2 linked regions of the Nothobranchius furzeri genome follow. The protein of the gene in region 1 purifies or fractionates together with the protein of each later gene. This does not show direct contact. Links are inferred from orthologs where the notes say so. Each region holds a gene or a part of one and is shown on either strand. Other genes may lie near its edges.

The links. The genes of interacting proteins can lie anywhere in the genome.
Region 2: the proteins of fbxw7 (region 1) and mtor purify together in Homo sapiens (affinity purification with western blotting; 9 studies listed by BioGRID and IntAct, with this or other methods). This does not show direct contact. The link is inferred for Nothobranchius furzeri from reciprocal best matches to the Homo sapiens genes FBXW7 and MTOR.

What each region holds. Positions count from the first base shown.
Region 1 is NC_091747.1:80,825,412-80,834,188, reverse strand, and holds the start of fbxw7 (F-box/WD repeat-containing protein 7), read left to right. Parts: upstream 1-4,347; 5' UTR 4,348-6,358; coding exon 6,359-6,511; intron 6,512-8,777. UniProt on the Homo sapiens protein: Substrate recognition component of a SCF (SKP1-CUL1-F-box protein) E3 ubiquitin-protein ligase complex which mediates the ubiquitination and subsequent proteasomal degradation of target proteins.
Region 2 is NC_091755.1:52,496,058-52,504,155, reverse strand, and holds part of mtor (serine/threonine-protein kinase mTOR), read left to right. Parts: intron 1-1; coding exon 2-246; intron 247-1,520; coding exon 1,521-1,730; intron 1,731-2,322; coding exon 2,323-2,528; intron 2,529-2,761; coding exon 2,762-2,884; intron 2,885-3,050; coding exon 3,051-3,134; intron 3,135-3,764; coding exon 3,765-3,857; intron 3,858-4,026; coding exon 4,027-4,161; intron 4,162-5,715; coding exon 5,716-5,845; intron 5,846-8,098. UniProt on the Homo sapiens protein: Serine/threonine protein kinase which is a central regulator of cellular metabolism, growth and survival in response to hormones, growth factors, nutrients, energy and stress signals.

The sequences.
Region 1 (8,777 bases):
ATGCCTCCTGGACACCTCCCTGGTGAGGTTTTCCGGGCACGTCCAACCAGGAGGAGGCCTAAAGGTAGACCCAGGACACGGTGGAGGGACTATGTCTCTCAGTTGGCCCGAGTGGCTGGGGAGAGGGAAGTCTGGGCCTCTCGACTTAGGCTACTGCCCCCGCGACCCGACTCCGGATAAGCGGATGAAAATGGATGGATGGATGTCCATCCTCCAATCCCCATCCATGTCCTACAACTACGGCAAGCCTCAAAGACAATAGACATCAATAGACAACACAACAGTCTTCCTTTTTCTGGTTTTCTGGATTCTAATATTCTACTGTTTTTGCATATTTTTAGGTCTGATATTTTATTTGCAAACTTCTCAAATTTCTTTTATGAATCACATTAGATGAAAGCCACATATACATATTCAGCACACGTAAGTGATTCATGCTGCATGCACTTCAGGTGTTTCCTGTATACTTGGTGTTCAGAGCTGTGTGTGTGTGTGTGTGTGTGTGTGTGTGTGTGTGTGTGTGTTTGGGGGGGGGTCCTTAAAGCCTAAGTGTGTGGTGTAAGTTGTGAATAATTAATTCGAGGCACGCGTTGGTGAATTAAAGGTAAAGTAATAGCACACCGCCCTACCTTCTCTGGCTTGCTGCTGCATTTTTAAACATGTGAATGGGCACTCAAATGTCTAAATGTTAACCTTGTTTTTTTCCTTTAAATCTCTAACTCGGTCTCAGGGTCCGGAAAGGGGACATTTGATAGGGAGTTTGAATAATTCAGGATGATGGTTTGGGGGAGTTTGTTTTCATCTAAGTGCAACTTAGATGCATCTCTTTTTGTTCTGGAGACGAACGTCTGATATGACGATGACTGACAGAACTGTTTTACTGTTTAGGATTCAAAGCTGCAGGTTAATGACAGTGGCTGCTATAATCTGACTTTAGTAAATGATTCTTTATTGTTCTATTTCAATTGGTTTCATTATAAGAACAAATGACCCAGTCTTTTGTAGAACTGTTTCCTTATTGTCGACTCAAGATTCTTCTTCTTTAAGTTCTTAGAAAAGGTTTTCAAGCAAAAATAGCATTTTTCTTTATTGTATCACACTAATAGAGGATCTGCATTGCTGTCACTTTCTGAAAAGTGCTGTAAGATTAAATTAGAAACTGCTTTCTAAGCAGAGTGTTGAAAATGACAGAGATTTAGTTATTCTCTGTCTCTCCCTGATCACTCCCCCACCTCTCACCCACGCGTTCCCTGTAAATAATTCAGAACAGCAGGTTTCACAGAATTGATGCTGGATGGAGACAGGATGGGAAACTGTTATAACATGTCCAATAGCTTTAAATTGTTCTATATACCCATCATGTTCTCAGCCTAAAGCCTGAATAAGGGTTAAGATGAAGAATCAGAGAAGGTAATCATTATTTATGGTTAGCGACTCTCAGAGGGTTTACATCATATTTTACTTATTGGAGAAATTGTACGTACACCCAATCAGCAAGACAAACATCATAGCTACTGAAACATTGTCATTAAACATCTTTCATGTGTTGCAAACAACCTGAAACCCTACCTGAGGAATCCCGGCCTTCTGCATAATGATCCGAGTCTCGTGTCCTTACCTCAAAGCTTTTCCAACTCTTTATGGAATTCAGATGTAAAAAAAAACATGTCACAAAATTTATCAGCCTTGTTTCCATTAAAATCTGTTTCTTAACTGAAGAACAGCCAAGATGCAACCTTAACATGACATAATGTCGTTCCTGCTTTAGAGATAATCCAATCAAAGCTCATTTTTGACAGCACCTTTGTCAGATAGACTCTCGTAGCTCTACTAGTATTTTTTAAAGCATATTTGAGAAATTATGTAAATCGTTTAGTTGTATTTCACCATAAATATGTATTTAATATATATTTTTTATTTTCACATTATAATCACATTCTTTTCTAAATGTATCCAATTTAATATCATGTTATGTATATTTGCTGCTTGTGTTTTATGTAAACATGATGTTTTCAGCTTCTGGTTGCCTTGCTGGAGTTTGCAGCCTTTGCCCACTAGAGTGCAGCCTTCTCAGAGAAACATCTGTCCACAGCTCGTGTGTGTGTGGTGTTTTTTAAAGTATTATTTATTTTGTTGACACTTTGTCTTGACTAAACACGTTTGAACAGTAGCAGGACAAATAATCAACATAAACAAAGAGCAAATTTGACTTGAGTATTTTGTTCTTCAGCTTTTCATTGTTTGGATTTTAATCCTCATTAATGACTGGATTTAAAACCATTTGATGCACTTATTGGTTTTAAGAGATGGTTTTGCTTTTGTGCAGATGAATTACCCCGTGGGCATATTTTATGTAAGGATAAACGACCCCTCCCCTCAGATTTTACATCCTGAGTTTGTTACCAGGGGGGAAAAAAACAATAAAACCTTTAATTTCGAGTAAATAAAAAATCCACACAAAAACAGGTAACGTTTTTATGATGATGATGATGATGATGATGATGATAATGAAAATAGTAATAGCATTGATTTTCAGTCTACCTGTTTGCCGAGGTGTCACTGCCCCCTCCAGCTGCAGCCGGGTCTTCCTGTGAGACCCGGTGCCGCGGTGCAGCGAGTCTCTGCTTTATGGATCAATACTGAAGCAGTGAGCTGACACAGTGAAAAGCGATATTCATACATAATTAATAGGGCGCTGTTTCACCCTGCTTTGTCTTTAAGTCCTGGGCAAGAAAAGAACAAACCTGTAAACAAGCACAGAAGAAACATCCAGTCGTCCGCTGCTCTTTAAACTGTTGCTTGGTGTAAGAGATGGGAAGCAGATGCTACCAAGCCATTTACTTTATACTGTAAGACATATTTATATGTTATTTTCAGTTTTAGGAGTATGTCTCTGTTTTGTTGTTTTCATTTCTCTGCTCATGTGGAACGTGTTCCGGGAGATGACATCCCAACGTTTCAGTCGATTTCAGGCACAGAATCACAGCGAGCGGCTTCCTGAAGCATCACTTCCATCAGCAGCACAAAGATGTCAGCAAACAGCAGCAATTATGCTTTTCACAACCTATGTGCTGGGTGAAACTGGCTGTTAGTCTCTGAAGGTTTTCATCTATTGAATAGAGAATATTGTCAGTTTATTATTGTCTTTGTGAGGTGACTTGAGCAAGTCCAGAGCTGTTGGGTTTGTTGTACTCACAGCTTTTTCTTTCCATACATTTAGAGTTTAACCTGCTCAGTCTGTATTTAAAATAAACAACCAGAAGTTTTCTAAAGTGACAGATGTGAACGTAGGCTGTACACAAACCGAGTTAGCAGACAGATAAAGGAGTGATGAGAGGTAGGAGTCTGGATGAAGGTCTTTGAGCTTTCATAAACCCAACACACACAACAAAGATCTGTGATTCAAAGGTAAATAGTTGTGCGGAAGTCTGCAGCTATTGTTCTCATCAGTGCATGGCAATAAATGATAAAGTGCAAGTGAAACAGTCTGTTGCTTTCAAATATTCTGATCTATCGTTCAGGGTCTGTTAGGCGAATAAATGTTCACGTGTATCTTTCTCAAAATATGAAACAAATCCCAAGTTTATCAGGTGGAACGGAGAAGGGGAATTCTATTTAAAAAGAAATGTGGATTTTAATTTCCCCATTGTATTTATTTGCCATTAAAATGACAGATTGGTGAGATGTTGAAACGACTCAGATGCTGCGAGGCTCAAATGAAATGAGCCGACTTTATGTTCAGGTTTCACACTTGGCTTCAGTGAAGCTCCACCTACACCCCCTCAGATAACGCATGCCTACAACAGCATCTTAGGCAAGCTGGTTACTGTGTTGGCTATGGGGTCGGCAGTAATTTATGTAGCCAGCTGAAGCAGATTTCATCTTTTTATGTTTTAGCATTATTGATTATTTTTAGCAAAATATTTAGCGTCTCTTAAAGACGTTAGAATTTGGTCCAAGCAGCATTTTAATTGATTTACTCTGCTCACCTCACATGGACTCACACTGGCTAAATAAAGAAAGCAAAGAACACATATTAGTCCTTATATTTTCAACAGTTTACCAATAAAGGGTTGAAAACATCATACTGGCAAGTGTTGATACTGGGACGTGAACCTGCACAAAACTACATCCCAGCCCAGCCCAGCCCAGCCCAGCCCAGCACAGCCCAGCCCAGCCCAGCCCAGCCCAGCACAGCACAGCCCAGCCCAGCCCAGCACAGCACAGCCCAGCCCAGCCCAGCACAGCCCAGCCCAGCCCAGCCCAGCCCAGCCCAGCACAGCACAGCACAGCCCAGCACAGCACAGCACAGCCCAGCCCAGCCCAGCCCAGCCCAGCCCAGCACAGCACAGCCCAGCACAGCCCAGCCCAGCCCAGCCCAGCACACTTGGCACTAGACTACCAAGTCTGTTGCATAACACTTGTTGCCTAAGCTGGCCAAGGGAGACCGGTTTCAGACCGGAGACTGGCTTCTGAGGGAGGAGCAGGTCCTGATGTTTGGAGCAGGAAGAAGGAGTGACGTACAACTTATACATGTGGCCATTTCACGAATTTCACTATAAAATTCAAAATTTGCAGCTGAAACAGAAAAAGGCATGAATGCAGGCAACCCTGCCAACAATGGGTTTGGGGATATTTTTCATGAGAAAGCAACAGTGTTACATACTAAAAAGCTCCAACAAATGGATTTTCCATTATATGACCCCTTTAAGCACCAACAAGAAATGCACCCTCAAAAGACTGATTTAAGAAGGGCTGCTGATTTGATTGGATGCCTGGTGAATGAGCATTAGATTGGTGTTATTATAGAAACTCACCTACTCAGGTCAAAGCACTGAGGTGTCTTTTGAATAGTTTCCTAGTTAAATAGACATTAGATCTTTTCTGGTGTTTTATTTCTGTCCAGCTGGTTTTCTGACATCACTCAGCCAGATCCTTATGCACAAATATGGTTACGTCTGGTTTTCTGCAGACCAACGATGTTGAAGGCTTTTTGCCAAACTCCGAGCTTCAGATTGGTAGTTCATGAGTCAGAGCTTGACGTCATGTAACTTGACCACTTCATCCAGTCTATTCATTTCCATTTTCTCCTTTTTCTGTCTCCTTGGATTAGACATGATGACAGGCGTTGATTTTGGTTTAGTCATTCAGCAATGTTGGGTTTGCTATTAATAGCCAGCGGTTGCTGTTAGTTTTACAGTAGACTCTTTCTCAGTCTATCATCCTTCCATCTTTCTCTTCCCACCACTGCTGCTCCTCCTACTTGCCTTCTCTTCTTAAAGCTTCCTGACTTCATCAGCTGTGGTAACCATTAGCTTTTGTGCTGAGTAATGTTCATTTTTCCTTCTCCAGTCTGAACATCCGTGGAGAGATGACCAAGAATGCTCGGGGTTACTCAGATAGGATAAAAGAAATATTCCTTATTTGAATTTGCTAACAGAAACTATACATGTCTGATCTAATGTCGCTGATGCTAAATCACTGCATTGACATCTAATTGCAGTTTTTCTGATTGGCTTTTTAGTTTGTCTTAATCAGTTGGAAAAACTGTCACCTTCTGAAGATTTTCTCCTTTTCAAAGCATCTTTTCAGTTAAAACATCATTGCAGTAATCAGCAGTGCATTCAGACCCCTGTGACAGATTATTACCATAATACTCCCGTCTCCTGAATGCTTACCCAGAACCCCTCCCCCATACTGGATCCTCACTACTTATCAGTCCTTCTAGTGTGCACAGAGTGGCTTGAATTTCTTGTAATAATCTGTCCACGGCTTCCTCAATTAACTGAGCAACCAGGAGCTCAGATTTCACACAGGAAAAAGCACTTTTATCTGCAACTTGGAGGAGTTCAGGCTGAGTGGTTTACCTCTGGTGGTGGTGGGGGGTACAGTGGTGGCAGCAGCACTCACAGGGATAGCTTCCTCAGAGCACAACAGTCAGAGGCAGCGGAGGGAGCAGGAGGAGACAGATGGAGATGGTGTGAGACAGGGAGCGAGTGGTGGCAGACGCTGTGTTCTGTGTAGCAATCAAAGGAAGGTGTTTAGTGGACGGAAGTGAGTTTGGCAGCAGTGGGGGTGTTACAGCAGAAGGCACTGCTTTAAGACAGTCGTGTGGTAAAAGGAGTAGAGAAAGTGATCATGAGGGGAAATGGACTGACAAATTATAGTTCTGAACTCAAGCACCTCCACCAAGGTGAGCATCTGCATGTGTGCTCTCTGTAGCACAAACCTGAGCCCAGTCTGTGACGGAATACCTGTGGATCGGCACCATGTGGATTACAGCCCAGCTCTGAGGACCAGGAAGTAGCTGCGTCGTTTTCTCCACACATCTTCTTACCTCAGAACAGCCAGGTTCCTAATGAGCAAGTCGATGTGTGGCTGTGGCTGCAGCATCATCTCCTCCCTGATGAAGAGACTGGGCCGCACAGCTTGCTGCTCAGATCTCCTCTCCTGCAGCCACACTTCAGAGCAGCTGCAGCGCCTGGCCACCGGCTGTCCGCCTCGACCAAAGGTAACAGCGTGCCGCTCCCAGTCGCACGGCTGCCTCAGCGCGGCAGAATTGTTATTTATGTGCAACACAAGAGCCACGCGGTGCATGATAGCATATCGCAGAAAGCACTGGCCTTAAAGTACAGTGTTCCGCTTTGTTTGGCTGTCTAAAGATTTTTCAGGTAAATAACTGCACACACAGGAGGGAAGAGCTGTAATTGATTCTTTAATGGAGCCAGGTGATTTAGTAACAGTCTAGCTGCCTCGACAACATGCTCTCAGTTTGAACTTCCCTTTAAATGATGCCTTCACACTGCTTGTGGTTGTCCGCTCCGCCTCAACTACAGAAAAAGCTTTATCCGATGGAGCAAATGAAAACAAACATTTTGTGAGTGCCGAGTCCTCGTGTGCATGTGCTGGTGTATAAATGAGAGTCTGACTGGCTTCCGTCTCACAGCCTCCAGACTTCCTCTTGCTTTGTTGCATTTTGTGCACGACTGTTTCGGCTGGCGCTGAATAGAATTTAGACTCTTCAGAGTCTCTTCTGGCAGTTTGCCTTTCTGGTTCGAAAACCCTCCTGAGTAATGATTACAATCCACAGAGGAAAATGTTGCATTATTGAGCTGTTGCATGGCAACAATCCAAAGGAAAATGGATAATGAGTGACAGTTCTAGAGGAGGAGTATTGGTCACAGACGAATTCCCTCATTTTACTTCTGCTGCACACAAAAATAATGTTTTGGTGTGGGTAAATGTGGAAAAATATTGTCCCTCTGTGAAGCAATTTCAGCTCTTCCCTTGATGCATCACAGGACACCGGCTCAAAATAGAACCATCAGTTAATGGCTCTTATGTTGAACTGAAGCCACGAATGTTCCGACTAACTTTGTGTTCAGATTTGGGAAGAATAATAGAAAAATGTTAGAAAGCTCACTTTTAAGATGCTGGAAAATACTCAGCCGTTGGAATATTTTATTCTTGTAATGATTTACCACCACTATGCCTCCCACTGGTAATATTGTGGAAGTGATGTAGAGCTTTTGTGCGTCTGCTGTCCACTACATTGTAAACTACTGTACTCACTGATTTTCAGCTCTCTCCAACTGTTCTGAGGTCACTCTGATGACTTCTAGCATGTTTGCCATATCCAGTATCCTCCTGTATATCAGGTTTTGTCCATTTCAAAGTGAGACATGTTCACAGTGATTATCTGAAGCTTGAGCAGCATCGTTATTAAAGCTAAAGATGATGGAACCACTAGACCTCTGTGTTTGAGTGATCTAGAATGGTAGGGGTGTGTACTGGCAAACATCTGGCGATTCAATGATACGATATATAATAATTATAAATTATACAATAATTATATAAAACTTTAATAATTGTGATACTAAAAGCAAGATTATTTATAGAATAGAATAGAATAGAATAGAGGCTGAAGAGTCCAAAATTCCCACAGAAGGAATGCTGACAAATGCTTTGAAATCCCTCCCCCAATCCTGGTTGAAACTGTGACGCGCTCGGTTGGCCTCTGGGTGATCTGGGTGAGACCACAGACTCTTCAGGGACTCGATGCACTCTCCATTCCTCGAATCTTCTCCACACCTCTGAGCATTGGGGATTGAAGTGCGGATGCTGCATGCTCTCGTCTGTTTGGGGGATCCCAGCCCCTCCCCCCACCCAGCGGACATGTTGTTACTGTCCGAGTTTGTGCTTTAGAGTTTTGGTGTGTTTTTTCCTGCAAGCCATTTCTGGATCCTGCAGGGAACAGAGTAGGGACCATGTTTTCTTCTCCTTGTCCCTCCCCACTCTTGTGTGACCCCTGTTTCCTTACCTCGAAAATGGTTGTACTGAAACTACACCTCATTGTATTTGGAGATGGGTTCGATGACATTAAACTTCTATTAACATGAAAAATCATGATATCTATTACAGATTAGCCGACTGATTAATGGAAACAAATTTACAAAAATGTAACTAAAATAGAAATAAAATTACATAAATATGTTGGCAAATTTCCTAAAAAAAATGAGGGAAAGCAAAAAAACAAATTCCAATTTAACTCATTCACTGCCATTGACGACTTAAGTCGTCATTTGCATTTTTTTTACTGTGTGGGCATCGGAACGAGCCCCCGCACCATGAGAACAAACATCCCAGCTCTAAAACTGATCTTCATCCACATACGTCACACATCACGTGATCAGGAAGCATGTGTTAGGAGATCGTTTTGGGCCGCTGCTGTAACAAAGTGAGGCGCGAAGCTGAAAAGCTTCTGCTGATCACAATTC
Region 2 (8,098 bases), on another chromosome or scaffold:
GTCCTGCTCTAACTGCAGTGCTTTACGACCTGAGCCGTCAAATCCCCCAGCTGAAAAAAGATATCCAGGATGGATTGCTGAAGATGCTTTCTTTGGTATTAATGCACAAGCCACTGAGACACCCAGGAATGCCCAAAGGCCTGGCTCACCAGCTCGCCTCGCCGAGCCTCACAAACATTCCAGAGGCCAGTGATGTTGGCAGCATCACCCTGGCCCTGCGCACGCTAGGAAGCTTTGAATTTGAAGGTAAGCACCTTTAAACACACTCTGCTAAGCTCTCATAGGCTCCAGTTTTTTTATAAAATTTCTGCTACAGAAGCCTCAGATCCACTTCTGGGTTTGGGACTGGGCGAGGCGGGTCATTGTGGACCAGTATGGGTCTGCAATTTCAGGAGAGCATTTCTATCACAGTTTGGGCTCTCATGTTGGCAGGCAGGGTTAAATCAACCCTCATGCGCGATTTCATAAATAACTTTTGAAACTATTCAGTATTTTTGTGCTGCAATAAATGTTCTGCAGAGCTAAAGTCAAAAAATCAAATGCTTACCAACGGGCTCCCCAAGTGCGGTCGCTGAGTCCCAGCCTGCCTCGCTGCCTCGGTTTGCCGGTCTGTGGCATCCAGCGCGTCGTAGCGTCTCTGTTGGGCTGAGCGAAATGTCCTGAAATCAATAACACGATATATTGAGGATTTCCCCTCGATAACGATAAATGGACAATTACTACAGGTATGCGCAGAAACTAAAGTTATCCACTAGATGGGGCTGTCACGTGTATTACGTTCAGCCACATTTGTACGTGACTCAATGTGGTACAGCTTCTTAAAGGGACATGAACGTTGCCAACCTACACAGCTTTTCATTTTTTTCACTATCAAATTTATTGACATGGGAAAATTAATCTCGATAAAAGTCAGAAATTTCGATAACGATGAATTTTCGATTTATTGCCCAGCCCTAATCTCTGTGTATTTCTCCCATTTCCACTCCGGCTGTTTCTGTTCCTAACTTTTCTACATTAAGCTTTAATTTCTTCAGCTTGGCCCGACACCGTTCCGACATTCACGCAAATCCTTCGGCTGCCATCCGCTGAGAAACCTGCAATCCTTACCGATCCACCTAGCTCTTCCATAGCGTAGACTCTCACGATGATGGAGAGGAATGTATGGAGCTCTCAAGCCGCTTGCTGGAATTTCTCACATTCGTGTACAACTAATGAAAATACAAATAACGAAACTCTGAGGTTTGTTTTGCTTGTTGCAAGTAGTGACACATTTTTGCTCTCCAATCAGTGGACTGTATTGTTGCTCCACATTAGCTGTACAAAATTCTGTGCCTACAGCAGAAGGAGGCAAATGTCCTGTGACTGGCGTGGTCTGGGTCATCGGGACAGTGAAACTAGCAAACCAACCCTCCCTGTTCCGTGCCAGTTTGGTGGTGGAACTGGGCTCAGAGAACCACACAGCAAAGCGCTGACGGTTGCTTTCTTCCTCGCTAACACAACGTTTAAACTTTATTCGCCAGGACACTCCCTGACCCAGTTTGTGCGCCACTGTGCCGATCACTTCCTGAACAGTGAACACAAAGAGATCCGAATGGAAGCTGCCCGGACCTGCTCACGTCTCCTCACGCCCTCCATCCATCTGATCAGTGGCCATGTGGTCAGTCAAACCGCTGTTCAGGTTGTTGCAGATGTGCTCAGCAAGCTGTTGGTCGTGGGCATCACCGATCCAGGTAAAGTTGTCAAGATTTTGGGATCGTACTGATCTCAGACTCACTCGCCTTCATGACTCGGGCTGAATGCCTGTCTTTGCCTGTTTTTAAGTCTTGTTTAAAGACCCACTTTTATGACTTGGCTTTTAGACAGTGTCTCATTTTATCGTTTTATTGTTTTTAGTGTTGTGTTTTATTTACTGTTCTTATTGATTTTACCTGCTAGTGACGCCTTGTTTAGCTCCTTATTGCTTTTGTCTTTCTCTGTTTTAATTGACCCTGCCTGTTCAGCACTTTGGTCAGCTCTCACGCTGTATTTTAAATTGTGCCATAGAAATAAAGTTGATACTATATGATATGATATGGTATGACTCAGTGGGGTCGTGGGGAGCTGGTGTCTATCTCCAGCAGCCATCAAGTCAAGTCTCCAGCTAGCCCGACATGCATGATTTTGGCCTTTGGGACAGGAGGGCACAGGAGTACTTGAAGACAACCCACTCATGCAACTGCTGCGAGTTGGACATGCTACTTTCTTGCTGTGCAGCAATAGTGCTGCCAACTGTGCCACCTTGCAGCTGTGATCTCACAGTTTCTCATTTTTGTTTCCCCACAGATCCAGATATCCGATACTGTGTACTTGCTTCCCTCGATGAGCGTTTTGACGCACACCTCGCCCAGGCGGAGAATTTACAGGCCCTGTTTGTTGCCCTGAACGATGAAGTGTTTGAGATACGAGAGCTGGCTATCTGCACAATTGGACGCCTCAGCAGCATGAATCCTGCTTTTGTTATGCCCTTCCTTCGCAAGATGCTAATCCAGGTAGGAGAGGACACAACACAACTTCAAGCTGCTAGACATTTTTAGCCCAGTAGAAGGAAGGTGCTGGTTCTGTGAAATCCGGCCTGCTGTTTAAGTTGGGTACCAGCTGAGGGCAGCAAAGCCCGGATCAAGAAAGATGTTTCTTCATCTTTAGTAACAAATGTCATAATGTGTGCCAGTCTTTGCATTAAAGGGAAATCGAGTGTTCCATGAATATTGTGTTTTATTTTCAGATTTTAACCGAGCTGGAGCACAGCGGTGTTGGGAGGAACAAAGAGCAGAGTGCACGTATGCTTGGTCACTTAGTCTCCAACGCCCCCCGACTCATACGTCCATATATGGAACCCATTCTCAAGGTAAAATTCTGCGACTTTTCCATATACCTATATGACTAAATCACACGTTTGTACTGAGAAAAGCTTTTAAAACCTCTAGATTTCATTTTAAAGTAACTCCCATTTCTGTTCAAGCAATTTTCTATTTTTAACCAGGAAAATAAATAATTTGTTTTTCTGTTTGCAGGCTCTGATTCTCAAGCTTAAAGATCCAGATCCCAACCCTGGAGTGGTGATCAGTGTCCTTGCAACGATCGGAGAGTTGGCTCAGGTAAACCTGTTCATTCTCTCGTCTGGGATATTTGATCTAAATGGTGCTCTTATGTGTGGCGTATTTGTTCTAATGTGCAGTTTTTGCAGCTAAAATAACAAACCTGGATGATAATTTCATTCAGCAGTCATGTTTTGTTGTGTATTGATTAGGGATGCACGAAATATCGGCATCAATATTGTTAGCGGCCAGTGTTAGTCATTTTTAACATATCATCTCGTTTCCATCTGTGTATCAGTTTCAGAGGGTGAGGGGGTGATGATGTGTAATTGTTTAGTCCTGTGCTAATCGTCTCAGGAGCGTAAATGTGTGTGTGTGTGTGTGTGTGTGTGTGTGTGTGTGTGTGTGTGTGTGTGTGTGTGTGTGTGTGTGTGTGTGTGTGTGTGTGTGTGTGTGTGTAATAACATATTGGTATTGGACACATCTTGATATCGGCAAATATCGGTTATTGGCCAGTGATATTATCTGTGTTCACTCTGGTGCATTCCAAGTATTGATGTATAAATGCAGTTCTCTATAACTTTTACCTTATTTTACAGTAATAAAATTTGCTGATTTGAATGATACACATTTGATGACTTTTTGGATTTTTGTCAGTATATTTTTTCTGGGTGTGTTTTAACCTGTCAGGTGAGTGGCCTAGAGATGAGGAAGTGGATGGATGAGCTTTTTCCTATCATCATGGACATGCTGCAGGACTCGTCCTCTTTGGCTAAACGCCAGGTATGAAAGGTGGAATTATTAGTCAGAAGAATATTTATTAGGTCTGAATAATACCATAAAATAAAATTGTTCTGTAGCACTTCACATATTGAATAAATTGATTTACTTCGTATGAAACCGCTTCCTAAATGTAATACCTCTATGGTGGTTATTTTTGGCTCTCCTGCAGGTGGCGCTTTGGACTCTGGGCCAGCAGGTGGCTAGTACTGGCTATGTGGTGGAGCCCTATCGTAAATACCCATCCCTGCTTGAAGTGCTGCTCAATTTTCTCAAGACTGAACAAAACCAGGGCATCAGGAGAGAGGTGTGTGTTGAGGCTGTAGCATGAAATGAATGAATTAACATGAAAATTTGCAGATTAAAGAATATTTGAAGCTTTATTTTGAATAGTTCAAAGAGTCTGAAGTTGTGATCCAGACTTTTCTAGTTTAAAGGTGTCCTAGAATTCAAAACCACATTTTTCTGTTTGAACACAGATGGCTTGAGATGACTCATGTGCCAAAAGTCTGTCGTCTTCGACCTACTTTCTTATGCAAACGAGTAAAGTTGTATTGGCTATAGAGCAACGATTAGTTTAGAGAAAAGCTGGTACAACACGTCATCGGCGTAGACCGGGATGGTAAATCTGATTCTTGAGGGTATCCTTCATGTTTTAGTTGTTTCTCTGCTTCAATGACTTGCTGAACAAGTGTGTTGGAGAAGGGAAACAAATGAAACATGCTGGATTGTGGCCTCCGAGGACTGGAATTTCCCACCCCGGCTTAGAAATCCCCCCTTAAATTTGCATGTCAACCCAGTTCAGTGTTGACGATGTATTGATGTTTGTAGTTGAAATGCTAACTGTAAAACGCTAGCCCGAGCTACTGCTAACCCAAGCCATGCTACTGGTAACGTGCATGTTGGATGAGAGTAACAGTGAAGATTGTCGGAACACAAGTGTAACGTTCCATACTTTGAATTCCAGACAGATCCATAGCTGAGGTATCTGGATACTGTACACTGCTGTACATGGAGTTTCTAGATTCAGGTAGCCATTGGGATAAACTGGCCAATCAGCATGCAGTTCATTTAATATTCATGTCCTGGTTAAGTGGGCAGGGCAAATCAGTCTTTCCATTGTAGGGCTTCATGATGGAGTTGTGTTTGGCCATTTGTCAGGGCTCCTGGGCCATTTTGAGCCTCAACAAAGTTTCATTCTCCTAACAATATAGATGCTCGAAGAACACTTTCCATTAATAATAATAAAAAAAGTTGTTTTAGGACTTCTTTAAAGGCTCTTTCCAGAGTATCTCTCTTATTCGATGGCACCATGTAGTGGCTGACGAGCATATCACACAAATAGTCTCTTGATCCGTTTTTTTTTAAGATGGCGACTTCATGTTTCTTGCTTATTAATGTGCGTCTGTAGCCAACAAATAGAGCTAAAACACATTGTTTACAAGTGTTATTCTCATGTCATGCTGTGTTTTCATATGTTTATATTTTAAAAACTTACTTGTCCATGATAGTTCATCAACTCTGCATCAGCCAAGGTATTACTTAAATTTGAAGCAGGTAAGCAGTAGTCTAACGATATTGGTTAGTTCTGGTTGGTGCTCAGTTTCGTATTGCACAGAGGTCTGTGGGGCAGGGGTGAGCTTAGCAAAAAACAAAAAAAAGATGTATTGTTAACATTATTTCACAGTACATGTTAAGATAATCACTTTTACGGATTTCTGAAAAATCATACGTAATTTCTGAAAGGGGAAAACTCCGGAGAGCTACTTTAATCTTTTGTTACTATAATTCTACAAATAACCCTATGTAGATATGATGAAATAAAGTTAAACTACAAACATTTGTATCTTCCCCACAACAGGCTATTCGTGTTCTTGGTCTCCTTGGAGCTCTGGATCCCTACAAGCACAAGGTGAACATCGGAATGATCGACCAATCCCGTGATGCTTCTGCCGTCAGTCTTTCTGAATCCAAGTCCAGTCAGGACTCGGGTAGGGTTAATTTCTCAATACAAATCTAAAATCTTGAAATTATGGAGTTGCTTGTTTTTAATTCCATCACTTTGGCCTTGATACGTAGATCCACTCTGTTAGTGACACGCCCAAGCTTTAGACTGAGAATTGGGGGAAAAAACACCAATCAAAATGATTTGAAGCTTTGTAAACACAAATTGCACCATGCAATTATGGCATTAAAATAACATAGATATAGTCCCAGAATACTACATTTCTGTAGAAAATCAAGTTAAATTGCTGCCTCCAGTTTTTCTGGTGCTTGTTTTTTAAATCTTGCATAATTAAACTCAGTGTGCTCACAGCAGTTTTGAGTGTTTTGGCTTTTTAACTAAATTCATTAAGTTAATGTCAATAAAATCTAATTAGAATGCAAGAAATGAGAACCCCCCTCAGGATAGTCGGTAAATGGAGCTAATTCTTCTCTGGAATGTCAGAAAATCATATCAGAAGAAAGGCGCTCGCCGAGGTGATTTAATAAGAAACGGTGGAATGTATTAGGGAAGCAGTAATGGGAATATGACATTTTTGTCACTTTCATCCACCTGATTTAGCGGAGATTAAAGGGAAATTGTTAAAGTGAAATGTAAAGATGGTTGATGAGGCACAATAGTGAGTAGGTGATGGCTTTTTATTTTAACCACCAAAGTTTTTTTTTTCTTAAATGTCAAAAGTATTTGAAGTTGTAGAAACCCATGAAGTCTTATCTGTCCAAAACCACGTACTTACAGTTTGGCTGACGCACGTTTTCTCAATCTGCAGCTGATTAGAAATCAGAGAGCAGCGATCTGAAGTGCAGTCAAGACATAAACACATGTTTGAAAAGTTCATAATTAAGACTGGAGCAGCAGTTTGGGTAAACTTTGCTTCATTAAATTTTCATTTCTGGCTTCTGCTTGATGTGAAGTGAATGTCCTCCGGTGTGAAGCGCTTCCAGTTTGGGGTAAAATGTTCTTGCCTCAAAGAGGAGATGTGTGATTTTTTTAGGCGATTCACCTGTTTTATCATCTGTTAGTGATTTACTTCCGTTTTGTGCGTAACTGTTGAAGTTTATATAGGTTTACATCTGTCATCTATAAACTGAGCTATTGCCGTTTAGGGCTACTGGGTCAAAATGTGTTGGTTATTATAGATAATGAGGGGGAACTTAAACTGTGTCAGACTTTGAATTTCATCTGTAGTGTTGTTCATACCAGGGCTAATTCTGTTGAATTCTTGTTGATTCATACCTAAATATAAATGTTATTAGTGGAAATTCAATATTTAATAATTAATGCAAGTCAACGGGGCCAAAAACGCTATTTTCTAATTCAGCTTGTTATGTTCCATGGATTTCACATATGATGTCTGTGAATTTTAAAGAAGCTTTTTAATACCAAGAACGCCCTTATTGTCCGGGGGGGGGGGTATTTTAGGTTTTGTGTGAAAATAAGGCAAGGACTACAAATGTGCCTCACACAAACCAGACATGGAGAATACTGATGGAAAATGGCTGTAGGTTCAGCAAACTTCAAATCCTTCCCACGGGAGGAAAGAACCGCCATAAATCTGGCCATTTGGTAAGTAGCAGCTACACTGGGGGGGGACTATGTGGTGACGTCACATATGCGACGTGCTGCCGATGTAGTCATGCTGATTATGAATGTTTACAAGCTGATAAATCTCAATGTACCTTACTGACATGGTTGAAACACCCATCATTACTCTTCATTTAAATTGCAGTACAACATATATATGTGTGATCCGGGGCGTAAGGCAAAGCAGATTAGAAGATGGCTCTTTTAGCCCCGTTGACTTGCATTCTTTTTCCTTTTTTTCCGTAACCGATGAGTCGACCAGAAAGGGGGGAGACGTAGGCTTCATGTGTGCGTGTTTGTTAGAGAAACAATCTATTATAGGTATCATTTACATGTTTTTTTATATTTCATATGAATAAATGCCTTGAGAGTTGTTTTCTGTGTGAAAAAAAGCTTTGGCACTTCTGTTTGAGTGGGTTGAAGTTTATCGCAGGAGGGAAATAACAGAACTATGAGTCTTTCTCATTAATATTTATGATATGCAAATTTATCAACATTGATTTGCTAACAGCAACACGACTCTTCTGCTGCCGTCGTTAAACTAAAACAACTACAAAGCATGTTTTTTTTGTAGGTCTGTATTGGCAAGAATCTATATATACAATCTATATACAGGGTTTCCCTTACATAGGCGTAGCCGTGGCGGGCCGCCACG